Linked DNA regions of Arabidopsis thaliana. Each later gene encodes a partner of the first gene's protein in a complex. Each region holds a gene or a part of one and is shown in the gene's direction. Other genes may lie near its edges.

Evidence for each region.
Region 2: Tic32-IVa (region 1) and Tic20-II share a complex: the UniProt entries of both Arabidopsis thaliana proteins name them as parts of the tic complex.
Region 3: Tic32-IVa (region 1) and TIC110 share a complex: the UniProt entries of both Arabidopsis thaliana proteins name them as parts of the tic complex.

The regions. Positions count from the first base shown.
Region 1 is NC_003075.7:12,224,194-12,234,588, forward strand, and holds Tic32-IVa (NAD(P)-binding Rossmann-fold superfamily protein), read left to right. Parts: upstream 1-4,709; 5' UTR 4,710-4,977; coding exon 4,978-5,083; intron 5,084-5,828; coding exon 5,829-6,060; intron 6,061-6,136; coding exon 6,137-6,216; intron 6,217-6,333; coding exon 6,334-6,487; intron 6,488-6,561; coding exon 6,562-6,640; intron 6,641-6,724; coding exon 6,725-6,812; intron 6,813-6,928; coding exon 6,929-6,975; intron 6,976-7,117; coding exon 7,118-7,300; 3' UTR 7,301-7,525; downstream 7,526-10,395. Other genes in the region: TET5 (tetraspanin5), read left to right, coding at 1-392, 548-867, 980-1,013; AT4G23420 (NAD(P)-binding Rossmann-fold superfamily protein), read left to right, coding at 1,867-1,892, 1,992-2,038, 2,117-2,200, 2,872-3,103, 3,187-3,266, 3,367-3,520, 3,611-3,689, 3,780-3,867 and 2 more. UniProt on the Arabidopsis thaliana protein: Involved in protein precursor import into chloroplasts. Part of the redox regulon consisting of TIC32, TIC 55 and TIC62.
Region 2 is NC_003071.7:19,591,202-19,599,783, reverse strand, and holds Tic20-II (putative conserved protein ycf60), read left to right. Parts: upstream 1-4,782; 5' UTR 4,783-4,826; coding exon 4,827-5,453; 3' UTR 5,454-5,597; downstream 5,598-8,582. Other genes in the region: AT2G47850 (Zinc finger C-x8-C-x5-C-x3-H type family protein), read right to left, coding at 1,665-2,063, 2,156-2,464, 2,550-2,837, 2,913-3,032, 3,120-3,182, 3,512-3,651, 3,744-3,831; AT2G47844 (uncharacterized protein), read right to left, coding at 4,345-4,491; AT2G47830 (Cation efflux family protein), read left to right, coding at 5,811-6,152, 6,239-6,308, 6,391-6,488, 6,678-6,793, 7,023-7,138, 7,372-7,468, 7,612-7,696, 7,864-7,926 and 3 more. UniProt on the Arabidopsis thaliana protein: May be involved in protein precursor import into chloroplasts. Not redundant with TIC20-I, TIC20-IV or TIC20-V.
Region 3 is NC_003070.9:2,126,043-2,138,979, reverse strand, and holds TIC110 (translocon at the inner envelope membrane of chloroplasts 110), read left to right. Parts: upstream 1-3,276; 5' UTR 3,277-3,416; coding exon 3,417-3,940; intron 3,941-4,023; coding exon 4,024-4,083; intron 4,084-4,168; coding exon 4,169-4,292; intron 4,293-4,398; coding exon 4,399-4,467; intron 4,468-4,561; coding exon 4,562-4,660; intron 4,661-4,789; coding exon 4,790-4,856; intron 4,857-5,174; coding exon 5,175-5,239; intron 5,240-5,316; coding exon 5,317-5,411; intron 5,412-5,841; coding exon 5,842-5,969; intron 5,970-6,042; coding exon 6,043-6,143; intron 6,144-6,284; coding exon 6,285-6,501; intron 6,502-6,807; coding exon 6,808-6,962; intron 6,963-7,116; coding exon 7,117-7,242; intron 7,243-7,348; coding exon 7,349-8,320; intron 8,321-8,428; coding exon 8,429-8,677; 3' UTR 8,678-8,927; downstream 8,928-12,937. Other genes in the region: CHX14 (cation/hydrogen exchanger 14), read right to left, coding at 1-495, 620-871; AT1G06960 (RNA-binding (RRM/RBD/RNP motifs) family protein), read right to left, coding at 1,447-1,716, 1,834-1,913, 2,016-2,109, 2,393-2,565, 2,978-3,050; AT1G06930 (TPRXL), read right to left, coding at 9,308-9,817; AT1G06925 (endonuclease/glycosyl hydrolase), read left to right, coding at 10,369-10,400, 10,764-10,829, 10,943-11,276; AT1G06923 (transcription repressor OFP17-like protein), read right to left, coding at 11,582-11,895, 11,980-12,178. UniProt on the Arabidopsis thaliana protein: Involved in protein precursor import into chloroplasts. Forms a voltage-dependent cation-selective channel at the inner envelope of chloroplasts, which specifically responds to a transit peptide.

The DNA.
Region 1 (10,395 bases):
AAACGACATGCGAGCATTTTCTTCAGAAGCCACTTTTGATCTTAGGCCTAGCTATCTTGATCTTGTCAGTAGCTGGTCTAGTCGGTGCATGTTGTGACGTGGCTTGGGTCTTGTGGGTGTACCTCTTCTTCATGGTCTTCATCATAGTCGCACTCATGGGTTTGACCTTGTTTGGATTCATAGTGACTAGCCATAGTGGTGGTGTGGTTGTCGATGGTAGGGTTTATAAAGAGTTTAAGCTTGAAGCATATCACCCTTGGCTTAAGACAAGGGTGGTAGATACTAATTATTGGGTTACTATAAAGACTTGTCTCTTGGGCTCAGTCACTTGTTCCAAGCTCGCTCTTTGGACTCCTCTTGATTATCTCCAAAAAGACTTATCTCCTCTTCAGGTACTCGTTATAATCATTCCAATTTTTTTCATAATCAGTAAAATTAGTAAACTAGCTAGTCATTTAGAGATTTGTAACATAAAAATAAGCTAGTGCTAAACATTACATGCTAATAATAATTCGAGTAATTGAAATATTCTGATATTTGGAAACAGTCTGGATGCTGCAAACCACCGACGTCGTGCGTTTACAACACGGACACGGTGATACAACAAGACCCTGATTGTTACCGGTGGAACAACGCAGCGACGGTGCTCTGCTATGATTGTGACACGTGTAGAGCTGGCGTTTTAGAGACTGTACGTCGCGATTGGCACAAACTCTCTCTAGTGAACGTCATTGTTGTTATTTTCCTCATAGCTGTTTACTGTGTTGGCTGTTGCGCGTTTAAAAACGCCAAACGCCCTCAACATTACGGCTTCCCTTATGGACGTTACGGCATGTCCAAATCCAGACCTGGATGGGAACAGTCCTGGTGAGATTAACTGCTTAGAGAATTACAATATTTTTTTTCATTGAATATACGTTTATAGGTTTGTTCTCTTTTCTAATGCAACAATTATTTTTATTATTTTCGCGGCATGTAGGTCAAGGTGGTGGCATGGGAGAGATCGGTATTAGTGAAAAATATTTATGTTAATGTTTTCGAATATCACGGTTCAACTTTTTGGTTTCCAATATATAATTATTGATTTTGAACAGAACATAAATTTTTTATAATGAAATTTCTAATTCGAGAAAAAAAAATTTAGTCACTTCCGATCCACAAAATCTGAGTTAAGAAATTGAAAAAAAAGAGCTAAATGTTTTATGTTTATGGAACATTATTTTAAATGTTATTTTAGGTAGTCAAATGGGTTATCTTTGGGCCAGACATTAGTCATTGAGGAGGCCCACAAAGGTATAGAACTAGAGTAACGAAGCCTTGCCTTGAAGGCAATAATCGCTTCTCCCACATCGGAAGTTTGAGGATGGATACTCGTCTGTGACATAGTATAAATAAAGAACATGGTCGAAGCTTGCAAATTACTTACCTGGACGGGGTCAACTCGTGATCAAGAAGACGAGTGGCCTAGGCTAGTGAATTCCATTGCACATAACGGAAGGGTGCTTAGCTTAAGGTCTTCCCTTGTGGAAGAGCCTGCGTCATTATTTGTGGCAGAGGGGGTTTGCGTTCGCGCAGCCCCTACCATTCCCAGTAGTTCAATCTTTTGTTCATGAATACCCATGGCCTAGGCTAGTGGCTTCCTGCACTTGAGGTGCGCTAAGCCTAAGGTTTCCCCAAATGGCCAAGTGGGAGATCCTGCGTCATTATTTGTTGCCTTGGGGGGCTGCGTTCGCGCGGCCCATTCCATCCGCAATAGTTCAATCTTTTTAGCTCTCTGGTAACTGTTATAACATCTGAGGTCTTTCTTTAATTGTTCACGTTTTTGGTGGAGCTATTTTATTGAAGGTTGTTAATTTGACTTTGGAGATGCAATCTTCTAATCAAATCTCCACGTGAGAAGCGAGGATTCTCTCCTCGTCATTATTTATCCTTCCCAATTAGAGTAATCACACTTTTCTGTCACATATGAATTATTAAAATCAGAACTTAAGCGAAATCCTTCGACCACTAAAGAAGAAAATCCCTAACAAATCTCAGAGTTTGTGTTAATTTCTTCTTTCCTTACATCTTTTCCAGAAGAAAAAAAGCTGAAAGATGTGGTTTTTTGGATCGAAAGGAGCATCTGGATTCTCTTCTCGTTCCACAGCAGAGGAAGTCACACATGGTGTTGATGGGACTGGTCTCACTGCCATTGTCACAGGTTTTCTTCTATCAATAGTTTCATGCCCTTTTGCGACTTGGGTTTGTCTAAAGTTGTAGACTTTTCTATAATTATGAATTGATTTCATATGTAGGGTAGAGATTTTTTACTTTTATTGTTTAGACAATTGGAATTTGATGTTTTTATGATCAGGGTCTGTTTTTGGTTCGGTCAACCCTAATAAATATATGGAGGTCATCACCGTTTGTTGTTCTAAAGTTTGTCTTTTTTTTTTGCCAATAAGTAACAAGCTTTTGCTCACAAGAATTGGATTGCTATGTTTGGTGAATTTTAAAGTACAACATGTTTGGGACCATTTGATCTGCAAATAACATGTGCTATTAGAAAGTTACATATATATACATACTTGTCTCTGTTTCAGCTGATTCTAAGTTATGTTATAATCACACACTATACAATTTCTGACCAAAGGAAGAAAAAAAAAAGATTTGCTTGTAGATCTCGTTTCAATACTTTTGTGAAGTGCTGCTTCCTTATTTTGGTTAGATTGAGTATGTAGTTTAGTATGCACATGTTCTGTATCAGCCTATCAGGGTATTGAAAAGGCTAGGAACGAGCTTAATCTATTAGTTGATACAACTTAAGAAAGTGAGATTTCTGAACATGTTGGATCCTCAAGTTTTGTTTTGTTTGTTTTCATGTTTTTTCAGGAGCATCAAGTGGTATAGGTGTAGAAACAGCTCGTGTTCTTGCACTGCGTGGTGTGCATGTGGTTATGGCGGTGAGAAACACTGGCGCCGGTGCTAAAGTTAAGGAAGATATTGTCAAGCAAGTCCCTGGAGCTAAAGTTGATGTCATGGAGTTAGAACTCAGCTCAATGGAATCTGTCAGGAAATTTGCATCTGAGTACAAATCTGCTGGTCTTCCACTCAACCTCTTGATGTAAGCTATTGAAATATCGTGGTTCATCTATAGCCGTTTGGATTTATTGACGTTTATGTTTTGACTTGTCTCAATTTTGTAAGCAACAATGCCGGGATTATGGCATGTCCTTTTATGCTCTCTAAGGACAACATCGAGCTGCAATTCGCAACCAACCATTTAGGTGAGTATGATAACCAAACCAACATTATGGCTTTGTCCTACATTTTATATAATTAGTTTCTAATCAGTGCAACGGTTTTTGTAATCCAAATACATTTCAGGACATTTTCTGCTTACCAAACTTCTGTTAGATACAATGAAGAACACATCACGTGAAAGCAAAAGAGAAGGAAGGATTGTTAACGTATCATCAGAAGCTCATCGTTACTCGTACCCAGAAGGAGTCCGCTTTGATAAGATCAACGACGAGTCAAGGTACTAATGGTGAACCAAATAGTATAATTCTCCGATCCCATCTTTTCTTCTAAAGCCAACATTCTTCCTTGATTTGGTCTCCACATGCAGTTACAGTAGTATACGTGCTTATGGACAATCTAAACTCTGCAATGTATTGCACGCCAACGAGCTTGCAAAGCAACTGAAGGTAAACTACACTAAACAAAGCAAAGATATAGCAAATCAAGAATCTATGTTTCCATGGTTATCTTCAATTCTGGTATATGATTAAAAACAGGAAGATGGAGTCAATATAACAGCAAATTCACTTCATCCAGGAGCCATTATGACAAATCTATGGGGCTACTTCAACTCCTATTTGGCTGGTAACTTCTTTTCTCGGATTCAACTCTCATCACTCCATGTTTCATAAGGTTACACTCAAAGTAAACAAACGCATACATATATTTTGAGTCTCTTCTGATCTCTCTGTCACCGGCTTAATGCAGGAGCTGTTGGTGCAGTGGCTAAATATATGGTCAAGTCTGTTCCGCAGGTATGCATCTAATTTCTGAACCTCACACTAATAACCAATCACTTGCAAACTTGTCACTAGGTTTCTCAGCTTAAGTAGGAGAGAATGATACAGCAGTCTAGCTTTACGGATTGATTTGGTTTTTGTTGGTAATCTGGTTTATAATGTCTGAGTATTCGACTTGGTAGGGGGCGGCAACAACTTGCTATGTGGCATTGAATCCACAGGTTGCAGGAGTTACAGGGGAATACTTCTCAGATAGCAACATTGCTAAACCAATAGAACTTGTCAAAGATACAGAATTGGCGAAGAAGCTTTGGGATTTCAGCACTAAGCTTACTGATTCGCAATGATGATTACCGTTGCAGTAGATAGTTGTTCAGGGAACCTTTACTTTCGATGTCTCTATTGTGACAATACTTATTTCAGTCTTTATTGATACAAAATAAAATGTAAAAAACAAATCTGAAATCATTTCCATTTCAATTCTGCAAAAAGATGGTTTATCCAATTTCAGCCTAAACAAAAGTGTTACTTATCTGTTTTCTCATTGACTCAAAACAGTTGTCTAGTGAACTAACTCGTAGACATAAGTAAGTAAGAAACCAAACAGAAAGAGCTTAAAACATCTTCTGATTTTGGAGTTAACTCATGTTATTGGTGGGAGCTATTTTAAGGACATTTGTTAAATCCTTTAAAAAGAAAGTTGTTAATAAATCCCCATCATTTGACTTTGGAGATGCACTATTCTACACTTCAACCTCAACCTCGTGAGACATGAGGATTAAAGTAAAGTAATCACATTTCTGTCACATATGAACAAATAAAGTTATTTAAATCAGAATAAAAGCGAAATCGCTTGACCACTCAAGAAGAGAAAAACGCTAACAAGTCCCATAGTTTGTGTTTATTGGACTTCTTTCCTCTCATCTTCTCCAGCAGAAACAAAAAAAGCTGAAAGATGTGGTTTTTTGGATCGAAAGGAGCATCTGGATTCTCGTCTCGTTCAACTGCAGAGGAAGTCACACATGGTGTTGATGGGACTGGTCTCACTGCCATAGTCACAGGTTTTCTTCTATCAACACTTTCATGCCATTTTGCGACATGGGGTTGTCTAAAGTTGTAGACTTTTTTTCTTATAATTTCCAGAACTTTTGTCCTCTCTGATTCTGTCTTCGAATTGATTTCATATCTAGTAAAAAGACTTGACTTTTATTGTTTAGACAATTGGAATTTAAGGTTTTTATCATCAGGGTCTGTCTTTGATTCGGTCAACTCTAATAAATATTGAGGTCATCACTGTTTCTTGTTCGAAAGTTGTCTTTTTTTTCAAGAATTTGGATTGAAAATTCCATGTTTGGTGAATTTTAAAGTACAACAAGTTTGGGACCATATGTATAATTGCATGTTAAGGGAAAATAACTCGTCTCTGTTTCAGCTGCTTGTAAGTTGTGTTATATATCACAACTCTATACAATTCCTGGCCAAGGGAAGAAAAAATACAGATTTGCTTGTAGAAATCGTTTCTATATTTTGATCATATTACATTAGGGCCTGAAACAAGAACAATGGAGTCCTTGAATTGATAGAACCCTGTTAGGTGACACTAAAGACTTGCACATACATATTTGAGTGTAGCATCGATTGGGCAAACCCTGAGTCAGCCTAATAGCCTATCAGGGTTTGAAAAGGCTTGGAAGAGCTTAACTGATCATTGGTTGATACAACTTTAAAAAGTAGTCTAGCCTGCATTGAGTTTTCTGGACATGTTTGGTTCCTTAAGTTTTCTTGTCTTTGTGTTCATATTTTCAGGAGCATCAAGTGGTATAGGAGTAGAGACAGCGCGTGTTCTTTCACTGCGTGGTGTGCATGTGGTTATGGCGGTGAGGAACACTGACTCTGGTGCTAAAGTTAAGGAAGATATTGTCAAGCAAGTCCCTGGAGCTAAACTCGATGTCATGGAGTTAGATCTCAGCTCAATGCAATCTGTCAGGAAATTTGCGTCTGAGTACAAATCTACTGGTCTTCCACTCAACCTCTTGATGTAAGCTATTGAATACTGTATATAGCGGTTTTGATTTATTGATGGTTAATGTTTTGAATTGTCTTAATCTTGTAAGCAACAATGCCGGGATTATGGCATGTCCTTTTATGCTCTCTAAGGACAACATCGAGCTGCAATTCGCAACCAATCATTTAGGTGAGTAGGAGAAGTAAACCAACATTATGTGGCTTTGTTCTAAAGTTATATACTTAAGTTAACATCATCATTAGTTTTTAGTCAGTGGCATGGAATTTGTGATCCACTTTATTTCAGGTCATTTTCTGTTGACTAAACTTCTGCTAGATACAATGAAGAGCACATCACGTGAAAGCAAACGAGAAGGAAGAATTGTTAACCTATCATCAGAAGCTCATCGGTTCTCGTATCCAGAAGGAGTTCGTTTTGATAAGATCAATGACAAGTCAAGGTACTAATGGTGAACCAAATAGTAATTCTTCTATCAAAATCTAACATTCTTCCTTGGTTTGGTCTCCGTTGCAGTTACAGTAGTATGCGAGCTTATGGACAATCTAAACTCTGCAATGTGTTGCACGCCAACGAGCTTACAAAGCAACTGAAGGTAACTAGAAAAACAAGAGATCTATCAAATCAAAATCTATGTTTCCATGGTTATATTGATTCAAATCTGGTATGAATAAAATAGGAAGATGGAGTCAATATAACAGCAAATTCGCTTCATCCAGGAGCCATTATGACTAACCTCGGGCGCTACTTCAACCCCTATTTGGCTGGTAACTTCTTTTCTCTTATTCCACTATCATCACCCCATACTTCACAAGGTTACACACAAGTAAACAAACGCATACATATACTTCTTCTGATCCTCTCTGGCATTGGCTTGATGCAGTAGCGGTTGGTGCAGTGGCTAAATATATACTCAAGTCTGTTCCACAGGTATGCTTCTAATTTCGAAGCCTCACACTGGTAACCAATCACTTACAAACTGGTCACAAGGTTTCTCAGATCTTGCTTAAAGGATAAAACTTGGTTTTGTTCCGTTATGTGGTTTATAATGTCTGAGTATACGACTTTGTAGGGAGCGGCAACAACTTGCTATGTGGCATTGAATCCTCAAGTTGCAGGAGTTTCAGGGGAATACTTCCAAGATAGCAACATTGCTAAACCATTACCACTTGTCAAAGATACAGAATTGGCCAAGAAGGTTTGGGATTTCAGCACCAAGCTTACCGATTCACAATCAGGAGAAAGCAGTTCTTGAAAGTAAATGATGTTCAGTGAATCTTTACTAATGGTTTCATGTTTCAACGTCTCTTATCTCTACTGTGACAATACTTATTTCAGTCTTTATCAAAGGAAATAAAAACGTATAACAAATCTGCAATAAGATGGTTTATTCTGACCGGTTTAGTTCTAAACCTTCACCAAACACTTATCAGAAGAAAATGTAAAAAAGCTTTGTAATCAAGTATCAGAAGATTTTAAAGACAACTTTCGAATTCAAAAAGAAGAAGAAGCCACGAGGAGACAATACTGTCAATGCATTATTAAAGTGATGGTCAGAAATGAAAATAAAAATCAATGATGATAGTTTTCTAGTTTAAACTCACTTTATTAATGGTTTCATTAGGAAGGTTAAGTAATTAATTAATCTTTGTGATTGGAATTTGGATCATAACGTGCAAATTGTCGATATAGAGTGTTATAGATAGGCTCTGTATTTAATTCATTTCATACCCTCTATATATAATTGTCGGTCGTTAGATGGCATTTGTTTTTATATTTATTTGATTTGGACCAAACAATGCTATTAATGATATGCATTGTATAAATTTCAAACTATAACGAGAGCAAATTTCAATGTAGGTTTAGGACTATATATGTTGATATTTAACAAAAAAGAAAAATTCATCTTAGGGTGATAAGATTGATCACTAAAGATTATTGAAATGTGGCCAAGTACTAGAGTACTACTATTTGTGACTATTTTACAATTGTTCACAATCATATCTATTGTACGTACAAACTATTTGCAGAAAAATCACATGCTCCAATATGAGATATTGTGTGTATGGATGTGGATACCTCAAATTAACTCGTAAAAATGTATGGACCTAATATAGTATATAATACGATACTAAAGATTTTTGTTCATTTTACTGTTGTTGATAGACTTACACTATGATGAGCAACAAAGGACTGAAATTTCAACAACAACAAATGATTTTTGAAATTGTCAAAATTAGTTGTCATCATCAGCAACAACAAAACTAATCAAATATGTTTGTAACATTCTATTTGAGAAAATTTATATAACTATATTGAAAAGAACATATATCACACAATCGTATATGAATGGTTGGGGGATGGACTAATAAAGAGTATGGTAATGTTTCTCAAACTCTCTGAGAAGCCACCAAACCACTTATAAAGAGATCTAAGTTCACACCTTTGTGTTTACTTTATCTAACTAATCCGTGGTACTACAAAGTAATTAAATTGTGGTAACATTGAATTACATATTCATTTTTATTCTATCATTACCAAAAAGTCAATCATGTTGTAGTACATGTACAGATTGGACGCTTTCTTTGTATTTTTCTGCTGTGTACACATTCAACTTTAATAATTGCTCTTCTCCGTAATGTGGTAAAATTCGATTTCATGCATATATTCAGGATTTCAACAACAGAAAAAGTTTTCAAAAATAACCAAAACATGTGGCCAAGTGATCTTTGTTATCACTATGACTAAAATCCATATAATCCTTACAATTATCATTCACATATATTTAAGCTTCATAATTGACTCATCTTTCAATCATTGACAAAATTTGCTTTGTCAAACAAAAGCTAAATCATAAGGAAATAGTGTCTACATGAAACTAAATCAAAATTATTCCTTCTATTCAATTCCTAATTCATAAGGATGGGCCTCACAATTGGACTTTAATTCTCTAAATTAGACCATTTTTCTGCTAAAAGAGCAAATGTGATCTCTTGAAAAGGTGTTGGAGAGGCGATAATTCGGAGCCGTGGATGAAACGTGTGAAAAGGGAGTGATGAGGCCATCAGGACCGTACGTTGATATCACGTGAGGACACGTGGGGGATTGAGTGAGCATGTACAAACAAAACTGTCTTTTGGACTGACTTTGGAAGCAACCAAGGAAACATCGAACATCATTCGGTGTACCATAAAAACAATGCATATCATTGAGCTGTTTGTTACCCCCAAAAAACATATGGTGTCAAACACAAGACTATTGTCTTATCAATGACTATTATTGATTTGAATCTTAATTTATATCCATCTTAAGCTTATCAAGATTCGAGTTAGGGTGGTGGACATTAGTTAATTATCAAATTTTATAAATCCTAACTAAGGGTAGATTTCGGTGTATAAAACCAGGTCAAATTATTCGTTTTATAGTTTTTCTATATATAGTGATGAAAATAATTGTATATATATCTTCCACAATACTTTAAAAATGTACAAAAGTTCATATATCTTCCTTACATTGTTACATGCATGGCTATATCCTACACTTGATTTAGTGGAGTTTATTTAATAACTCAATTATTGCTTGGGAAGATAGATAATTGAACTACGTTCATGGGAAGGTCTACGTCTTCAATCATTGATCCCCACAAAAGCATTGGTCGTGAACACGACTAATACCAATTAAGCACCAAAATTTTGATTTTACTTATCTAGCTAATGAATTAATTTACTTTTAATCATATGATTTTGAAGCAAAATCCAGACTGATTACATTGTATGTGAAAGAGACATATTTTTACTACTATTTAAAATGTTTACGGTGGCTAACTATAAGTGAAATCGTAGAGAAAGAATTTGATTCATGGCATATATCAAATTTTAACCATCATGGTTGTTATTCGTGACCTTAGAATTTATGCGTGTGATCACCCAAAAAAGGTGATATATTTTTTTACATTTGTTTATGATCTAATCTGAATGACAAAAATAAGAAAGCCTTAAACAATGTATACTTTTTATAATTATCTTGATTTTATTATTTGAGTTAGTCTAAATCAAACAAAGAAACAAAAAGTTAAGATCATTGGAATAGTGAATTAGCACTTTACAATGTTAATCCAATGCTATTTCAAAATGGAAGTATATGTATTGATGGAAACAAATAAATAACAAGCATTCTTATAAAATACTAAAAATCAAACCGGACGATCATAATATTTTTTAAAAATTATTGTGCCATTATTCAGAACGTGTGATCTATCTATTTGAATTGACCCGACCGTTAGTAGGCAAATTAACAAAGAATTACTCAAGCAAAATAAAATAATTTATTGTAATGCAACTATGCAAGGTT
Region 2 (8,582 bases), on another chromosome or scaffold:
CAGGATTAAAGTGGAATTATGACTTTCTTCATAAAAATAAACAGTTCTTTATGTGCATATCATATACTAATAAAAAATTAGGTGAATATATATATATAACTTTATTCTCCGGGAATTAGGACACTAATCTCGCTTGCTATAGGTAGTCTGAGAATGCTTGTATGAGTACATGATCTCAGCCCACAGTCCACACACACGTCAGGTGATACAAATGTCTTTCTTTCTTTCTTTCTTTTTTTGGTTTGTTTCAAAGGTGATATTAATAATATTTAGATTTTTCTTACAGGATATCAATATATATACAGAGGTAGTTTGCTAAATGTTCTGTACTTTTCTATTTTTGTAATTGAAAAGCAATATATGTATGCATATATGCGTAAAAAGTCAATTAAGTGTGCTGTTTATTACTTATGCTTTTCGGTGAAAAGTTAAAAAGGTCTCTTATCGTGTCTTCTCTTTGTTTATTTTACACCAGGTTATTTATATTTTTTTTAAAAGAAAACTATACTGCAGGAAATGTGAATGGTTGCATTACTTTTGGGGGTTGTAATCATACCTCTATGTCTCTCTTCTTTTTCTTTTCAATTCCGGAAGTAGCTCAAACGAGTTAACAAGAAAAACAAAAAGTTTACTACTCCTAACCTATTAATACGCAATTCATTAAAATACTACATATCTCACTTAAGCAAATCTATATTTTGGTAAATATTTTGTTGTTAGATTTCACAACAAACTACAATTTCCCACTCTACAAAATCCAAATCCAAAGCCGGATGTCCAAGTTTAGTTGATTTCATCTTCTTCCTTGGGCTTTTGACAAAAAGAAAAGTAAGAGTGTAGAGAGAGAGAGACAAGTGGGGAAGGCAAATAAGAGCAAATGATGGCGAAGCATATTAAATTGAGCATGATAGTTTCTTTTCTCAGGTAGGGTTTTCTCTAAAGATTACTTCCTTCTCCATATTGTTTTAAAACTTGTTTCTAGGCCATCATTTCTCTCGTCTCTTTTTTTGTACCACTTTCCCGATGCTATTGATCGATTCTAGGATTAGTGTGCTTCCGCTCAACTTCATTTCAAAACCATTTTTTTTAAGGAAATAAATATATTCAAGATAATGGTGCCAACCTTCAAAACTAGTCTTGAAATGTAGGTTGTTTCATCACCATAACACATGTAATGTGTGAAGCAGTAACATAACAAAATTAACAACACACATCATTCATCTACAATAAGAACAAACCTTAACACACGAGAAGTACACCAATTGGCAGACTAAAAGAAGAGGAGAATTGAGTTCTTTGTCTCAGTTTTTTTTTTTTTGTTTTTGTGTCTCAGCCGGAATGGGTCTGAAGTAGAAGTACGGACAAGACAAAGAAACCTTGTCTGTCTCTATACAAACATTATACACAAATTCCAAAAAAAAAAAGAAGAAGCCTTTTCTTGTTATCTTTTTTGGTATATGCACATATAGATTTCCTCTCAGATATATGTGATTCTCACTCAGGTCTTCTACTCAAATAGGCTTTTTCTTCTTCTCAAGGTACGAAGATTATATATATAAATTCACATCACATGCTTCTATATAATAATAGTCATATAGATTAAGAATTGCTAAAAGGTGATCCAGAGGACCTGCGTATGCGTACCCTTTTCTGAGGTGATCTATTCAAAAGGATCGACGAATTTCACGCCCTTGTCTTGTGATTCTGCTACCTGTTAGAGGAAGAGAGCTCTGGCTCGAGAGTTGCAGCTCTGAGAATGGAATTGACCCACCGCTCTGGGAGAAAATCAAACCTGCCGAGATGTTTGATGTGCTTCTTGATGTAGGCACACCGGTCATGTAAGCATCTTTTGCACCGCCTGCTATGAGCTCTGTCGATGAAGAAGAAGGGGCAGCTGCCAGAGCACCCAAGAGAGAGCTCACTGGGTAAGGAGCCACCGGTGCATCAGCTAGAGAGGACGCAGAAGGATTGTATCTGATCGTTCCCATTGGATGATCAAACTTACATGTTGATCCAAACTTACAGAAGCCGTTTTGTACGTAGAAAGTGCACCGTTGCACACCCTGTTTTCAACCCAAGATAAACAACGGATTTAGAGACAGAAATGTTATAACTATGATCAACAACCTTTATGACATATTAACACAGAGCATACCGGGCGTAGAGGAAGACCAATGGGGCTGAGGACGCAATTCGCTCTTGGTGGAACCCGATCTCGAGGATGATGAAACTTACAAGATGTTCCAAACTTACAATCTCCTGTTTTCAAATAGTATTGGCACTCTGGTTCACCAGGTCTCTCTGGAAAGGCCTGTTCTTTCTGTATAACACCTGTAGGAGAGGACAGAGATGGATAAACCCCGGGAAGCGAAGGAGTGGTGGAAGTGAGCTGTGTAACTCCATATAAAGAAGTTGCCCCAACAGCGTGCTGCGCACCAGGAGATAGAGCAGGGCTCACAGGTGCCTGAAGCAAAAGCAAAAGTGAGACAGTAAGAGACTGTGGTGAATAACAAATGTATTGATGATACATCAATAAAAAAAAAGGTCACCGAGTAAGGACTCCAGCCTGGAATAGGAACGACCCCGGGGGTTAATAGCATTGGACCATAGGCGCCTTGCATATAAGAACCAGGAAGAAGAGTTCTTGCAACTCTCAAGCTAGAAGATGGACCTCCATACTGGTCAGGCATAAGTGACTGCACCGATGGATAAAACTGAGGTGCAGATGCTGGTGGTGGTGGGACAGTAGTACCAGCAGGCTGAGGATGATGAAATTTACAGGTTATACCAAATTTGCATTGCCCCGTTTTCAAATAGTAGGAGCATTCGTTATCACCCTACAAAGAGTTTATAAAAGATCATGCAAACTCGAGACTAGCCTTTTATTTGACATGAGTGGAAACAAAGCTTACCTCTCGTACAGGGTATCCATATATATTTAGTGGAACGTGGCTCATGGATCCACCTGCATTCTTTGGATGGTGGAATTTGCATGACGCCCCAAATTTACAAGTTCCAGTTTTCAAGTAAAACTGCCAGGAAAGCAGAGATCAATAATATCACAAAAAACCTTGTTTCATCACTTGGAACATATAAAATGACTGGTCGGGGTGGGTTACCTGGCATGGGGGTTCACCAAAACGTTCAGGATACTGCCCGGTAGCTCTAACAGTTGCTTCAACCTATACATGAATCAACATGAGAAAATAGTAAACTGTGGCCAAGCTAAGATGACAAAATGATAAGCTTTTACAAGAGCATACAAAGGTATCAGTAAATACAGGGAAACACCGGGTAGAGTCAATGCATAAGACAAAAAAAAACGTGACGTAAAGCACAACAACTGAAACCAGTAAAGCTTAACAATTTCCCCAGTTTAGAGAGACTCTATAAGGCCAGTGATCACCCACATTGCGGAAAAAACAGAGAGAAGCATTTGATTGTGTCCTCCTAGTATGGATGGTTTCAGAACAATAATAAGAAAGAAGAATGAATGAGAGGAAGAAATTACCGAGGCACGATCGCGAGGGTGATTGTAACGACATCTATTACCGTAGCCACAGACACCAGTTCGCATGTAGTAGGCACAGTCAGGAGCACCTGGTCTCTCAGGGTACGAGTCGCTACCCAACCCTAATCGCCACATCGATTCTGCAAATCACAAAATTGAGCACAGTCAGGGCCATTTAGCGGAAACCCTAAAGAGACCGTACAGTTGCTGAGAATCAAAGCGCATGCGAGACCTTGGAGTCCGGTATCGGCATCTGCAGGGGTCCAGTCGGGAGCTTGAGCAGATTGTGAGCCATTGAGGGGAGGATTGCGAGCATACATGTCCTTAAATTTAGGGATTTGGTGTACAGTAAAAAAGATACTAGTAAAAACTCCTCTCACCAAACTAGAAGAAACTAATAAGAGAGTAAATGTCAAAAGCTCATCGGTGGATCGACAGAGATTTACCGGAGAAGCCGATTAGAAAAGCTCTGAGAGAGAAGAAAAAAAGAAGAAGAAGAAGAAGAGATGCTTCGACAGTGATTGAGAGGAGCTTCTTCTTTGGTCGGTCTCTCTCTCTCTCTCTCTCTTCTTTCGCTCTTCAGGAATACCGTACGGTCTGCCCTCTGCACTACTGTTTCTTTTTTTAGCTTTCAATTTCTTTTTCTCATATTCTTTTTTAAATAATAATAGTATATAGTAGTAGTTTGTATTAATTTGTTTTGTGAGATTTATTTTTGGTTCTCTCTTGGTCCTTGGGTCGCCAAGTAAAAGCATCCCAGAAAAGGGAAGATATTTCCAAGAAATATACTACTTGACAAAACAACAAACAAAAAATAAATAAACTAATTTTTACTAGTTTCCAACCAAAATGACGGTAAGGTCCTTGGGCGGGGATAGCGCGCGAGTGGCCAACATGTGACACACAGACAGTTTTCTCACTTCACTTGCTAACTCGGGGAGTAAAGTGGTCTGGTCCGAAAGTGGGGACACATCCGTCATTTCTACCTGCTACTGTTTCTTAACTGCTCTCTCAACTCGCTCTGACCGAGTCTGACTCGACTCGACTCGCCTTCAATCAATGCCATCACATTTCTTCGTTTCCGCTTCCCATTTGTCGGCGCCACAAAAACCTTCTGTTGTTCACGAAGCCCTCTAGTACCATATATAGGCCCATTTATATAGCTAAGTCGGCCCAATTATGTTGTTAGTGTGCGCGGGCCAAATTTTAGATTCGAAAACGGCAGCGTTTGAGCTGTTACTTTTTTTTGCTCTTCTTGTCAACAAATCGACACTGCCGACTAAACAGCGAAAATCCCAAACAAAAAAATAAAAGAATGGCGTCTCTGTGCCTTTCTCTCCACCAAACCCTAACTAATCCCCTGTCGGCTCCCAGATGCAGACCACTCAGCCTCTCCTTCCCCGGATCCTCAACCTTCTCGATCCGCCCCTCTAGCAGACGCGCAACCGCCTTGACGACCCGCGCCTCCTACACCCCGACGCCGGCGACTGAGCGCGTGATTTCGATAGCGTCGTACGCGCTGCCGTTCTTCAATTCTCTGCAGTACGGGCGGTTCCTGTTCGCGCAGTACCCAAGGCTGGGATTGCTGTTCGAGCCAATCTTCCCAATCCTGAACCTGTACAGATCGGTGCCGTACGCGAGCTTCGTGGCATTCTTCGGGCTGTACCTGGGAGTGGTGAGGAACACGAGTTTCAGTAGGTACGTGAGGTTCAACGCGATGCAGGCGGTGACGCTGGATGTGCTCCTGGCGGTTCCGGTGCTGCTGACCCGAATACTGGATCCGGGTCAAGGAGGCGGGTTTGGAATGAAGGCGATGATGTGGGGGCACACGGGGGTTTTCGTCTTCAGCTTTATGTGTTTTGTGTATGGAGTCGTCAGCTCCTTACTCGGCAAAACTCCATACATTCCATTTGTCGCTGATGCCGCCGGTAGACAACTCTAATTCCGGCCAATATCTACCTCACTCAGTGTTCGGGTTTTCGATTCTAGAATCGGTTATTTCTGGTTTATAAGAGAGACCAAATCAATCAGTGTTGTTAATTAACCATTACCGTTTTAAAAAAAATATTTTTTGTTATACTCCCAACATTTGATTTGGCCCAATATGAAAGAACAGTATGGGGGGCCTTTAATGAAGCTATCATTGACTGAGTATAATTTTACAATCGTCGGTGAAAAGGTAACTAAGTAAACGGTAAAAAAATGAGCGCCGTCTATCTTACCGCGCAATGAATGAGAAGTCAATTTGGGAAACTGATCGGAGAAAAGAGGGAGAGAGGGTTTCTCAGCTGAAATCAAAATGGGTATTATCAGATTTCAAATCCTGAATCCGACGAGGATTTGTAGGTCTACTATATATTATATGTCTTGCCGTTATCTGCCATCATCATCATCATCATCATCACCACTCCGAGTATCTTCTTCTTCATCGCAAAAACCTAGTTTCGATTTCTCCAGAAGGTGGCATTTTGGTCACCCTGATCATCACCAGCAATATCAAAAGCCTGGAGAAGAAGGGGAGAAGATATTCCGGCTAGGTCTCACCGCAGATATAGGTTTATCTGTCGCAAAAGCTCTCACCGGTTATCTCTGCGGCAGCACCGCCATTATCGCCGATGCTGCTCATTCCGTTTCCGATGTGGTAATGAAAATTCTCATTTGCTGAGGACGAGAGATGATCCTTCCTTTGGTTTTGTTTCTCACATGATCATCATCATTATATCTCAGGTTCTAAGTGGTGTTGCTCTAGTGTCTTACAGAGCTGCAAATGTTCCCAAGGACAAAGAACATCCTTATGGTTACCTTTTCTCTTCTCTTTCCTTTGATGTAAATACATTATAATAACAATGAACTGAATTTCCCCATGCATACAAGGGCAGGTCATGGTAAATTTGAAACGCTTGGAGCACTTGGCATCTCTGCCATGCTTTTGGCTACTGGCTCTGGTATTGCCTGGCATGCTTTAGACCTTTTATCTGTATGACCACCACTCTCTCCTTTCTCTTTCTTTTTTAATTACTCATCTCCACCTCCACAACCTTGCTTCATTGTATGAGAATATATTGCACTTCATGTTTATCTTTTATCGATCCTCCATTGTTTGTTTTATTTGGGATATAATAAATTCAATTTACAGAGTTCTTCTCCCTTCCTTTCTCATTTGCAGATTGCACTGTCCGCAGCTCCTGAGGTAATTCATAGTGGACATCATCACGGCATTGATATGAATCATCCCATTCTCGCTTTGACTGTTACTATTGCTTCCATTTCTATCAAAGAAGGGTACAAACATCACTTTATTTATCACTCTTTTCAATCCAATCAAGTTTATCATACCCCATTGCTTTACGTCTACAGCTTTTGCTCTACCGTCGCTTCTTACTAGACAATTGCAAATTTTCACTTTAGTTAGACTTGCTTCTCAGAACCTACCGCCCCTTTTCTTTTGATCCTTCATCCCTATTCTCTTCACTTATTTTGATCCTTCATCCCTGAATCTTATGTTTCTCAGGCTTTATTGGATCACAAAACGAGCAGGTGAAAAACAAGGGAGTGGTTTGATGATGGCAAATGCTTGGCATCATCGATCAGATGCTATTTCTTCTCTAGTTGCACTTGTTGGAGTTGGTAAGCTTTTCTTTCCAATCAGTACATATGTAAATCAACTATATCCTTTGTTTCAATATCCCAGACCTGGTCACGCATATGGCTACTACTAAAGAACTGGAGACAATGTAGATCTCTGAATTCCATTTATTTACTTTTACCAAGTCTCTCTCATCGGTCCAGCTATTGTACGGAACTACTGATAAAGGGAGACATGAAGTTCTCATAAATCGTGAAATATGACTTGTGTGCAGGAGGTTCTATTCTCGGAGTTAATTTTTTAGATCCTCTAGCTGGCCTTGTTGTCTCGACAATGATTGTCAATGCCGGACTGAAAACAGGACACCAAAGGTACTCACGCTATATATGTTGCTTTTTCGATTTGTTTTCTCCATACAACACTTGTAATAGCTTGAACATGGAATAATGGTTACAAATATGTCTTTTTGGTTCCAACACCATGTCCATTGCTGAAATCTCATTTCTTTGTTCAGTATCTTGGAACTCGTGGATGCTGCTATACCAGCTCAGCAATTAGAGCCAATAAGACAAACCATATTACAGGTTGAAGGAGTGAAGGTACAGATTGTAGTATATTTCACTATTCGACCTTGCTAATTGCTATATAACATTATGGTGTTCTTTTCTATAATCAGTTATCTGTAATGAGAAAGCATGCTTTCATGTTTTTTCTTATTAATTTTGCGAATGAGTATCAAGACTTTCATGATAATCTTAATCCATAGGGATGTCATCGGCTAAGGGGTAGGAGAGCTGGTTCATCGTTGTATCTTGATGTACACATTGTGGTGAGTGCTGCTTCCTTCTGCCTCAGAGTAGAAAGAATTATCTCAATAAAATAAATCATTATCACCTTTTCCTTACAGGTAGATCCTTTTTCCAGTGTGAGTGTCGCACATGAGGTAGGAGAATATGTACGGAGACAGATTAATTTGAACCATCCTGAAGTGTCCGAAGTTTTTATTCATATAGGTATTGAGCATGCTGCATGGAGGTCTAATCAACTTATTCACTGCTTCTCGGTCTTAGCTATCATCTCAAACTTTCCTTGCAGATCCAGCCTTTTTACAGTTTTCTTGTAGCACCAAGGATCATGACAGTATAACGAAGGAAAGTAACATCTGCCAAGAGATTAAACATGTTGAAGCCACTGTCTCAGACATTTTTTCGTCGCAGTTGTCTGAGGTACTCACTTTCTATAATCCAGACCTAACCCAACCTCTAGTTATTCCTGTTTATTAGTTTCAAGAACAATGGAATCTTTCGCATATGTGCAGAAATTGACGATCAAACGAATTACACCCCACTTGTTACATAGCAAGATCTTGCTCCAAATCGTAGTCGCCATGCCATCAACCATGTCCATACAGTAAAGCTCTTACATGTCTGTACCTTTAGGCCATTTTGGCCACTCTCTTGTAACCATCTGACAAGTATTTGGCTG
Region 3 (12,937 bases), on another chromosome or scaffold:
CACCCAAACGAAAGACCAAACGCTAGCTAGTGTCCCATCCCGCAAGAACATTCTGAAAACAAGTGCAACTATCCAGCTAAAGGCCTCACAGACAATGGAGCAGTTTGTGGCTAACCGTCCAAGATCAGAGTTAAGGATGTTAAGCTCAGCTAAGACGGTTGTGGTGACCGGGAATGAGGTCATTGCATTGAGGGAGATCACTGTGCTTATGCAGTGGACAACGTCTGGCGGGAGGTTGTAAGTGTTTTTCAAAAAGAGGACAGTGAGGTTACCGAGGGAGAATGGCAAGGCGTAGGAAGCTGTGCCAATGAGTATGGCTTTGGAACCAGCTTTACGAATGATGCTAGCGTCGATTCTTAGTCCAAGTAAGAAGAGATGGATGAAGAACCCGAGGTTTGAGAGCGTTTGTAAAGTGATTTTGCCGCTTATGGGGAGGAACATCTGCATATATGCGCTGCTTTGGCCAAAGAGAGACGGTCCTAGGATGATCCCAGCCTGCGTTTAAAAATTTCGCAAAAAGAGAGAAATGAAAAGAGCTCCAGACTCCATAGACTAGTCTAAGTTTTGTTCTGAGATTCCTCGATTACAGAAAAAGAAAGAAATATAGACAACTTATTACCAAGACTTGGGCAGAGATCATGCCTTGCTTCAAGGGCTTGAGGAGGCGGTAGAGAAGCCTTGAGGTGATGATGATGACGGACATTTGCAGCAACATAAGTGGCATTGCGTATTTGAGAGGGTCACTGCCCAAGAAAACACCCTTTGAGGTCAACATGTGGTTTTTCTGGCACACCATGTTTTCCACCAAGAATGGCCCATGAACTTTGCCTCTCTGCATCGAGTTCACCTCCTCCAGGTCTAGCTTTGACATCGCTCTGTTCTTTTTGTGCGTACCAAAGACAGTGAGAAGAACGTGGAGGAAGAGAGATTTCTCTCTAAATATGCAGAACCTACTTGATGCCGACAGATGAGAATCTCTTAGTGAGAGATGAAGAACAAAACAGAGGACTCTGTTTTTATTTTGGGGAATTGTTGATTATCTTGCTATCATCAGATCTAGAATGGTATCTAAGTTTTGTTTAAAGGTCAGAGACAAAAAGGGAAGTGAGAGAAAAAGAGAGAGAGAGATGAAGCATATTTGTTGCCTCTATTTATCGAATGCGACTATTTTTTGGCTGGTTGATGTCAGTAACCCCATAATCTTCTCATTTCTAAATTCGTGGTTTTAGTTCCCCCAAAGTCCTAATAATAATAAGGCATTTAAAATGAGATTTTCTCCAACCAAATCACTCTCAATTCTTCGATCTCATTACATTCTGGTCTAAAGCTTCGGGGTCATTCACACCACTAATCGGAAACGAACCAAATAAAATAAGACAGTTTGCTTTTAAACAGCTACTAATTAGTATATCATTACCATTCATCCGCATAACAAAACTCTGGTTTTCACTTCTTGGCAAAAGAGACGACCATTGGATTCTGCGGAGTGATCTTGAAACCCTGAAGAGCCTGCATGGCCATGGAAGACTGAACATCGTCTTCATACTCCACAAACGCAATTCCGGGTTTTGCTTCGATCATTCTTATCTCTTTGAATCCTGGGTATTGCTCAAAGAGCAGCTGAAGCATCATACTATTCGTCTCAATGGGAAGATTATGAATGAAGAGTATGTTGTTTGGTGGCATCGTGTCTTGCCCACTCGGCTGGAAAGGAGGCTGTGAAATTACAGAGACGGGTATTAGGAAACAAGGATTTACAGACTAAGTTGCGATAATGACGTCTGTCAGAAGATAATATTGTATTGTTGGAATGATGCGAGAAAGAGAAATTGCCACAGGCATTCCGTTCTGAGTAGTTGCGCCATTAGGCATGCTTGGTTGTTGAGTTTCTTCAGCATGTCGCTTCCTTTCAACTGAAAGTGATGTGCAGTTTTGTTAAACATCAGATGCGAAGTAAAACACAGATGAAATGAGCTGAAAAGATCTGAACTTGTGATGGAAACGAAAGTTTAAACCTTTCTCTTCTTGCTTCATCTTCTTTTCTTTTGGAACAAAAGACCCTTCGGCTTTAGTAACATAATCTGACTTTGATTTTGCATATTGTATCCGCTGCACCCACAGAGATCACACATCACGATTTGAATAATAATATTGCATTTAGCTTTTTCTAGTCTTTTACTTAGTAATCACTTGTGTAATGATATACCCTCAACATCTAATGTCGTTGTACTTCCTTCAATTTTATATAACAACAAGTATCAGCAAGCAAACTCAATTTTCCCTCCAAGTAAATCTCTGCAACTTTCTAAGCTTATAGTCTCACATAACAAGATAAAATCATTTTTCGGTAGCGGGATAGATAAACCTGGAACATAAGAGAGGAAAAAGGTACCATAGGCTTATCATAGAAAGGAAAGTTCTGCATCTGACGGACAGCGTTGCTAGCAGCGGTGACTTCAGTAAAAACAACCCATGCTTGTCCCCGGAGCTTAGGAGTCTTTAACGCAACCACATCAAGTAATCTTCCAAACTGAGAGAACAAACAGTAAAGAGACCTCTTCAGCTCTGAAAAAAACAAGTGGAAACATTAAACAATGATCTGCTTGAACAGCATTACTCTTAGACAAACAAAAGCAGCAGCTAAAGAACTTAAGGTCATTGACTTCAATCAAACAATCTAAACAAATTTCATGGCAAAAGCAATCGCCTTTCCTACTTAATTACTTAAATAAAGCACCTTTGTTAGAGTATCTCTAGTTCAGGTCTATTAAGATTAGACAGAAATTCTAAATCCCTAATACTTAGAAAGATAACTCTAAATGCATCTAATCTAACCTTCGTAAACATCAAATTAAGCAACTTTAAACTCAGACAACTCATTCAAGAGAAGCTCACACAAGCATTACCAAGCTACTTAAGCATTGCAAAAACTCTTAGAAAATCACCGATGCAATTATATGAATTTCGTAAGCATTACCTTCTTTCTTGATCTTCTCATTGATATGTTTTATGTAGATTGACTGATTTGGTGGTATATCAGCCGTTAACATCTTTCAACTGAGCTCCGCGAAGACGACGATGGTCGATGGTCACAGCCCTGAGAAAATTTAGCGAGCCCTAAGAGCCAAGAAGAGAGAAGAAATCGTGGCGTTTCCAATTTACACAAGGCGTCTAATTTGTTTTTTTATGTAAACATCTTACCGTTACCGAAGAGTAAAACAACACGTAGTTTTATAATATTATTAAAAAACGTCTGGACGTTCGAAAGGGGATTTTGATGTTTTGTTAGGCCCTATCTCTTTCCCCTTTTCTTCGTTCGCATCTCTATCTTCTTCCGTTGTCTACTGTTTTTCGTTAAACCCTACGATTCTTCTTTTTTTCAACGACTGCTCGGATCTTTCTCAGTAGAGGGAACCATGAATCCCTCACTCGTCACCGCCATTAACGCTCCAATTTCACCTTCTCCTCGGTCTCCTCTTCTTTCTCACTTCCTACCTACTTTACCTCACCGTTTCTCCAAGTCTGAGTGTCTATCTCGCCGTCGTTATCGAGTTTCGTTCCCTCGTAGCTCAGCTGCTTCCTCCGACCAACTATCAGTATCTACGCAGGCGAAGAATCCCGGTATCCATGGGAATAAGAAGGAGCTCACTGGATTGCAACCGATTGTTGAGAAAATGACACCGCCGGTGAGGCTAGCGACTTCAGCTGTTGTATTAGCGGCGTCTTTAGCTACTGGTTACGGCCTTGGGCTCCGTTTAGCCGGCTCCAGGAATATTGCCTTTGGTGGGGCTGCTGTTGCTGGAGCCGCCGGTGGAGCTGTCGTATATGCGTTGAACTCTGCTGTACCGGAGGTAGCTGCTATCAGTTTGCATAATTATGTTGCCGAATTCGAAGATCCTGCCTCTGTGACGAAAGATGATGTAGAAAAGATCGCTGATAGGTGAGTGCTTCATTTAATTGTCAATTTGTGTCTGGGATTTATAAACAAAAGTTTGCTTAAACGATCCTTCTTATATGTTGCAGGTACGGTGTCAACAAAGGAGACGAAGCATTCCAGGCTGAGATTTGTGATATTTATTGCCGGTGAGTCAACAAAGGATACTGTGTTCATCTTTTCTCTTAGTGTGGGGAATTCATTAGTAATCTTTGCATCTTAATCTTGATTTAGGTATGTAACTTCCGTGCTTCCAACTGAAGGACAGTCTCTTAAAGGGGATGAAGTGGCGAAGATAGTCAAGTTCAAAAATGCTTTAGGGATAGACGAACCTGATGCAGCTGCCATGCACATGGAGGTGCTTTCTAGATTCTTAATCTTCATTTGAATTAGCCGTTAGCCTTTTTGTAGTTGATGCAGAAGGATCTTGATTGCTGAATCACCAATTCCTTGGTTTTGTTTAGATTGGTCGCAGGATTTTTAGGCAAAGGCTTGAGACTGGGGAGCGTGAAGGTGATGCAGAACAGCGTCGGGTGAGTCGCCAGTCCCTAGTATTTGTTAAGTTTATTGTAGGATTGTTCGAAAGAGAGCACAAGCGTGATCACAAGTTGTATGCTTCCAGTGCAGGCATTTATGAGGCTTGTATATGTTTCAGCTCTTGTGTTTGGAGATGCTTCATCCTTCCTTCTACCTTGGAAGCGAGTATTGAAGGTCACAGATGCTCAGGTAGGCATTTCCAATTTTTTTCATACTTCTGATTTTGCGCAATAGTTGTTTTATGGAAGTTTCATTTTGGCAACTCACTCCTTCTTGGTAATCTGAAGTTCTGTGCTAATGTCTTGACCTCATTTCTAGGTTGAGATTGCTATTCGTGAAAATGCAAAGCAGCTGTATGCCGAACGGTTAAAATTAGTTGGTAGAGGTAATGTTGTTCATGTTTTACATTTTGAGATGGGAAGTAATGTTACATTTGTAGAACGGGTTTGAGTTTGCTTGACTTGGTTATATTGATTATTGTGGCACTTCTTTGTCCATTGGGTTTTGTAATATTCGTTTATCAGCAAGTTGTCTGAATACCAACCTTAATTGTTACTTCGCATGCGACTGTAATGGTCCCTTCTCATTTAACATTGATAATAGATATGGCTTTTTGACAACCAAAAAAAGATATGACTTAGCTTTTTCGTCAGCTTAATGCATGGAAACTTACATGGTTATGTTTCTAAACATGTTCTTGCAGATATTAACGTAGAAAACCTTGTGGACCTTAGAAAATCACAACTATCATTCAAGCTCTCTGATGAGGTACTCTATTTCTTTGTGGCATTGACTTCCTGCTATCTCTGGTTGTACTTCTTCTGACAGTTTCTTCTCCCTCATAGCTTGCTGAAGACCTGTTTAGAGAGCATACGAGAAAAGTAGTCGTAGAGAACATTTCATCGGCACTCAGCATACTCAAATCCCGCACACGAGCAGCGTAAATCATTTTAACATATTGCTTACAGAATCATGCATAGAAAAATCGTATAGAATAATCATTATCCATGTGAACAGTTTGGTTACACATTTAACTTTTTTATTTCTTATACCAATGAGTTATGACTTTAGCTGGGTATATGTATTCCTTTGCTTGAACATTGAGTTTGGTCGGGTTGAAAAAAGAGATTGAAGTTTTGGCTTTAGTTTTGAGTTTTGGTTATTGCAAAAACTGATTGGTCATATGATCTCTTTTGCTTTTGTGAATTGTCTTATAGTATAAGTATTTAAAAAAAAGTCATGAGATTTTAATTTTATAGGCGTTTTTGTATCTTGTGATAATTAATAGTGGAAACAAATTGGATCATCTAGTATGTCTAGTTTATAGTAGTTTACAATGCATGTCATTTTAACGACCTGATTTTTTCCAGGAAGAGTTTGGCATCTGTCGTGGAAGAGCTTGAAAAAGTACTGGAGTTTAACAACCTGCTAGTTTCCTTGAAAAGTCATTCAGAGGCAGATCAATTTGCACGCGGGGTTGGCCCTATTTCTTTGATAGGTGAAGATGCTTTTGACCTTCTCTTTTCTGAAGAAAAATTATTGGCTCTCAACCTTGGATCTATGTGGCTTAGGTGATGAGTCTGATTTTGAGAGGAGAATGGATGATTTAAAGCTCCTTTATAGAGCATATGTTACAGATGCTTTATCTGGTGGGCGCTTAGAAGAAAATAAGGTATACTCAGTTTTGTATAAGATATTATGTACTAAAGCTTAGTTGCAAGTTTTTTTGAGAGTAAGTGTTTTCAGATGCTGTGTCCTCTATCCCAGTCGCATGTTTTTTTCCATTTCTAATTGTCTTTCTACTGTATGGTAGCTCGTGGCAATGAGCCAACTTAGAAACATACTCGGTCTGGGAAAACGAGAGGCTGAAGCTATTAGTGTTGATGTTACGTCCAAGTCTTACCGTAAAAGACTTGCTAACGCTGTTTCTAGTGGTGACCTTGAAGCACAAGACAGTAAAGCAAAATACCTTCAAAAGCTCTGCGAAGAGCTGCACTTTGATGCACAGAAGGCAGGCGCAATCCATGAAGGTATAAGCCGAACCTTCTGTTCACAATGAAATCTTATGTTTTTATGTTATGCATGAGGTATACAGTTGGAATTGCCACATAATCGCCCAAATGTAAGATGTGTCCATGGGTATCAATTTAGTTGATGGCTTGTAAACTTGCGGGTTCCTTATCCTTTTAAGCTAGCTTTTAGTGTTGTAGATTTGGTTCTTAACAGACTTCTAACAAGTCTGGTGTTTCAGTGGGTTACATGCTGTTATTTTACAGTTTGAGTATCTATTTGGTCTTTTTTTCCCAATCATCTGACAAGCACCTTCTCTTCCTCAGAAATCTATCGGCAGAAGCTTCAACAGTGTGTTACTGATGGAGAGCTGAGCGATGACAATGTTGCTGCTTTATTAAGGTTAAGAGTTATGTTGTGTATTCCCCAGCAAACTGTTGATACAGCTCATGCAGAAATCTGTGGAACCATATTTGAAAAGGTAATCCAGTTATCACCTCCCTTTTCCCTTTATCAAGGGTTTTTTCATGGTCTTGGGTCTTGGCACTGCAATTTCCCTCTGCTTCCCTCTCTGCCTTCGCATTTTGTTACCAAAAGGTTTTACCTCTAATTACCTTTTTGTTTAATCTTTCCAGGTTGTCAGGGATGCCATTTCTTCTGGAGTGGATGGTTATGATGCTGAAACTCGCAAATCAGTTAGAAAGGCTGCACATGGTCTTCGGTTATCCAGAGAGACTGCCATGTCTATTGCTAGCAAAGCTGTGAGTATCACACTATTTACTTTCTCCATGCTTGGTATTAGGATTTGTTAAAATTTTCTGACTTCTCATAGCAAGACATGAAAATCAAATCCCTTCATTGATGCAGGTCCGTAGGGTTTTCACAAACTATATCAGACGAGCAAGAGCAGCCGAGAACCGTACTGATTCAGCAAAGGAGCTCAAGAAGATGATTGCTTTCAACACGTTGGTTGTGACTGAAATGGTGGCTGATATCAAGGGAGAATCTTCTGATAAGGCACCTGAGGAGGACCCTGTTCAAGAGAAAGAAGAAGATGATGAAGATGAAGAATGGGGATCCCTTGAATCGCTCAGAAAGACAAGACCCGACAAGGAACTCGCTGAGAAAATGGGAAAGCCTGGCCAGACTGAGATAACTCTCAAAGATGACCTTCCCGACAGGGACAGAATAGATCTCTACAAAACATACTTGCTCTACTGTGTAACTGGAGAGGTAACAAGAATCCCTTTTGGCGCCCAGATCACAACAAAGAGAGACGATTCAGAGTACTTGCTTCTAAATCAGCTTGGTGGGATTCTCGGATTGAGTTCGAAAGAAATAGTCAACATTCACGTAGGTTTAGCCGAGCAGGCTTTTAGGCAACAAGCTGAAGTGATTTTAGCTGATGGGCAATTGACAAAGGCTAGAGTAGAGCAGCTAGACGAGTTGCAAAAACAAGTTGGTTTGCCTCAGCCACAAGCCGAGAAGGTTATCAAGAATATAACCACCACAAAAATGGCAAACGCGATAGAGACCGCTGTTAACCAAGGAAGACTGAACATAAAGCAGATACGGGAGCTCAAGGAGGCAAATGTCAGCCTGGACAGCATGATCGCTGTGAGTCTGAGAGAGAAATTATTCAAGAAGACAGTGAGTGACATCTTCTCATCAGGAACTGGTGAATTCGATGAAACCGAAGTCTACCAGACAATCCCATCCGATCTCAGTATTGATGTGGAAAAAGCCAAAAGAGTTGTCCATGATCTCGCTCAGAGTAGATTATCGAATTCGCTGGTCCAAGCCGTGGCATTACTCAGGCAGAGAAACTCTAAAGGAGTGGTATGCAAATCATCTTTTCCCTCTCTTATCGTGACAGAAAACATGGATATTTCAGCTTCTGGGTCTAAATTGTGTATGTATGTATGCTTTTTTTTTTTGGTTTTACAGGTCTTGTCGCTGAATGATTTGCTTGCATGTGACAAAGCTGTGCCGGCTGAGCCAATGTCATGGGAGGTCTCAGAGGAATTATCTGATCTATATGCTATTTATTCAAAGAGTGATCCCAAACCCGCACCGGAAAAAGTTTTGAGGCTACAATATCTGCTGGGAATAGATGATTCAACTGCAACTGCCCTCCGTGAAATGGAAGATGGAGCATTATCTTCTGCTGCAGAAGAGGGCAATTTCGTCTTTTAAATCTTTGGAGAAATCACTTGAGTTATTATGTATTGTGTTACGGCCGAGGGTGGAAAAATGATTTTGAATTTGAAATTTGACCAAAGTCTGTGAAAATTTTGTATCAGAACCATAAACTTGATATGATTAATTTGAAAATCTGCAAACGAGAAGTGTATCCCTTATACAATTTAGAGCGCAGCTTTGAAGTGCTCATGTGGTGTCACGTGACGGGTGTTCCCGCATAACGAACCTAAAAAATAGAATAACAGTTAATTCAATCATTGAGAACTTTTTTTTTAATGAAATGATTTGACCGTAACACCGTAAGTGAAAGTTAATTGTTAATTCTATGGTGGTCTCACATGACTGCACACAACTAGAACAATACTCAACAATCAACATGTATACTAGATCTGATCTCGTTATAGTATGTTTTTGTCGAAATTTCTAATTATACAAAAGCACGTCTTTTAAAGACAAAAATAGAAGCCATATGATCCAATCAATTGATTCATAGAGATGATGATATGAATCGATGAAACATAGTTTTTAGAAATTATTTCCAAGATTACAAAAAAAGAAAAAAAAGAAGTGAAAATTAATAAGAAAATAGGAGAGAGTTAAATATAAGAAAAAAGGCAGAATCATTTAACATGATCTGAGCAACACCTTGACAAGGGAAGCGTAACATCCAGAAGATTTAGCACTATTCGATCCGTAGTCTAAACTCGAACCAGATTCAAACCACATTGATCTTCTTCTGTTGCTTAAATCAGATGTCCTCAATGGAGAAGATGGAACTGAAGACGAGGACGACGAAGAAGAAGAAGCCGGAGAAGATGGCACACTACGATTCTTGGAAAGCAAGGAACTAAAGAGAGTGTTGGTTTTTTTAGGGCTTACGTGTTTTGTAGAGGATGGAGAAGCGTAGAAGTAAGAAGGAGGAGGTGTTAGTGGTGCTGAAACCGGAAAATTGAAATCAGAATCAGAATTGAAACCGGAAGAGGAGGATCGTTTGGAGAGTCGTCTTGGAGTTCCGGGCTGAGATTCCCATTTGAAGGGAACGGCGGCTGATGATCCACCGTAGTAGTCGCCCTCGACGGCCACAGAGAGGATCAGTTTGGTCGTGGAAACCCTAGAACGATCCAGCTGAGGCATTGGACACTTTGTGAGGAGGTGACTTTTCTTTTCCGGGTTTGCTCAACTATACTATAAGAGAACTATGAAAAGAAAGAGCCTTGAGTCTCTTTTTTTTGTTTTCTTACTTTATTGGGTGAACTAAGAAGATTTAGATTCAGATTCAAAAGTTTTGAATTGTTTGTGTTCTTATTTTATTATATAGTTTTGAATGAGTAAGAAGCAATTTGATAAAATATTGTAGAATCTCGAGGTGTGATGCTTCTGGGCTCTGCTTCTTGGAAGCCACTGAGAGTATTATCCTGTTCCAGATCATCTGATCCAATTATAACTTCCAAGACACTTGGTCGATCCTACCCCTAGAACTCTGTTTTGTGAGTGATTGTTTGATTTCTCTACTCATATCTTTTATTTTAGTATTAGAAAACATATTTCTAACATTTTAATTATATAAGTTATAGTTATAACATTTAATTAATATTTCATTCTCAACGTACGTTACAAAGTTACAAAACTACATTTAAGAAATAGCATAATTAGTAAGAAGATCACAATACTAGCTTTCTTGCTACATGAAGTTAGGCTGCTACTCAGTTTCGGTCCTGTAAAATCAAGGTCCAAATACGAAAAAAAAATCTGAATCTTTTTAAAAAATTTAAACTTGCAAAAATCTTTTTTTTCTTCTCATAATTATGAAAATTATTTAAAGAGTTTTCAGAAAGTAAAAATAATATATCCGAGACATGCAATCCTATTAGACTTTGAAAGAGTTTTTTCAATGACATTGTATGATGTAAAAAATACTAACATAAACGATCACTACACACAAGAAAAAAAACTTTAAAAAATACACTAGAATTGGTGCACGGGAAAGGCCGATTGAAAATAATCTAGGCCCATTAAAGCGAAGCCCATTCTCAACCCTATATATTTGCGGGGTTGATATTTAATTTTATCTTTCAATCAGGGATTTCGAAACCGAACCGACTCTGCTTATCTCTCAGGTAAATTTCTCTGCTCCTTATCTCTTCATGTTTCTTTGCAAATTCATCGACTAATTGCATAGATAGCCTACAACTTATATATATATATATATTCTGAATTTGTTTTTTTCTTTTCTTACCTTTAAGGCCTTGAATGATGGAGGGAGGCAGCTGTGGCCACAATATCGGTCTATTGGGAGATAAAGGGGTGTCCGGTTCCGGATGGCTATGATGCTCTTCGGGTAGGTCCGTCTATAAAACGTAATTTGAGGAAGTTTAACTACACTGGCCCTATCACCATCACTGCCGTTGGCGTACTATCAGAGGTCCCTCGAGATTTCCTTGAAACCACTGGAGAGTGGAGTCAGTCTCTTTCTCAAGTCTTAGTTGTTTCTGAAACAGGTCCCACATACATGGTTTCGCTTTTCATTGACTCCCCTGATTCTAAGATTCCACGTCCACATAATACCTATGAAGACGACGAGGCTCCCCCTTGATTATTTTCCGGAGAAATAATGCCTACTACCATTGGTGAGGGAAGAAGCAACCAAACCTTGAGATTTCTCATCTTTTGAATTCTGGGGTTTACCGGAAATCTTGGTAAATAGAAATGTGAAATGTACCATCCTTTAATAATCTTTTCTTATTATCTTTTATTTCCGTGATTTAATGTAGTAAAATCAAGTTCCTGTCACTTGAAGTTGTACAACTTACAAAAAAAAAACAGAACACAGAGAAAGCTACTCTGTATCCAATGCTCTGTGTTATCATGCATATATTATAAAACCCATTTCAATGATCTTTAATCGTCATGGTCGCTTGGAAACAGGTCAGTGCAGAGCTCTCCATAGAATCTAGTCACAAGATCAATGAAGATTGGACTATTAAGATTCTTCCAATAATAGAGAAGCTCTTCCATGTCCATCAAGTCATCTATTTTCCCATCTTCAACGAACATATGGATCATATAGTTCTCGAATCTTCTGCAAGCCTCTTTCACACCATCTTCCTTTAACATATGTCTTTGACTCGTCCTCGCTTTCTTGTTCCTTTGCGTCATAGCCAAAGGAAACATCTTTCTTGAATGCAGAAGCTTGGAATCATCGATCAGACTAGCTGCAGTGGCATATTTGTAGAATAAAATTTAGATCAAAGGTACTCTATAAAATCGACAATAGTTACAAAAGAAATTGTTGTTACACGGGGAATTTCTGGGTCTGATCTGGCTCATCCTCTGCTCCTTATTAGTATTGAGAAAACAGAGACGAGACAACAAAGAAGATGATGAAGATTGTGTGGTATTGACATTGCGAAAACGAGCATGGAAGAAGGAGATGAATCTGTTGCATGATTTTGAAAGCTTTGATTTCAAGCTAATCAAACTTGACTTCAGTCTCATTCTCGATCCTTCCGAAGCTGATTTATTCTTTGTTGTTGTTGTTGTGGTATAATGTGTAGGTTTGGGAGGGTGGTTCGAGTTACGTGGGTTTCACGTCTTTTCCTTTGACACGAAGTCGTGATGGTGGAGTCCCATGAACTTGAGCCTTAATTTGAATGTTTTTTGCAAATTTAATTTTAAGCTATAATCTGACCTAGATATTGTCACATTATGAGTAGGAGGAGTGGGTAAATATATCGGTGTTTACTGGGATCAGTAGTAGTCGTTAGGGTTGTGACTGACCCCGCTCGTTTGTCGAACCCTAGCTTCAAATATGAGTCGTTGACCCAAAAAAAAAAAGCTTTGGTCAAACACACACGTGTGAGGTAGGGAGACCACAAGCTAATTGGTGAAAAGGAGACGACACGCCGAGTTTTATGCAAATATGTCTTTTATTATTCTCTACAGTTTCTTCTACACCATTATTGTTATATACTATGACTATGGCTATATTAAGAGATTGGACATGAACCTGAAATCTTGTTTAACCTCTTTTGTTGAAACCCTTTGTCACGTTCGCCGAATTATGTTTTGGAAGCAATTTACCAGAAATATTCTATTTAGTCTAATTGATACCCACCAATCGACCTACTACCGACAGACAATTTTTGAGGACACTTTGTTGCTCAATTTTCAAGTCTAATAAAACCTTTTAATTCTCAATCTCATCTACGTACACCTCAATTATTTCGATTACACCGGTTTAGATAGGATATTTTA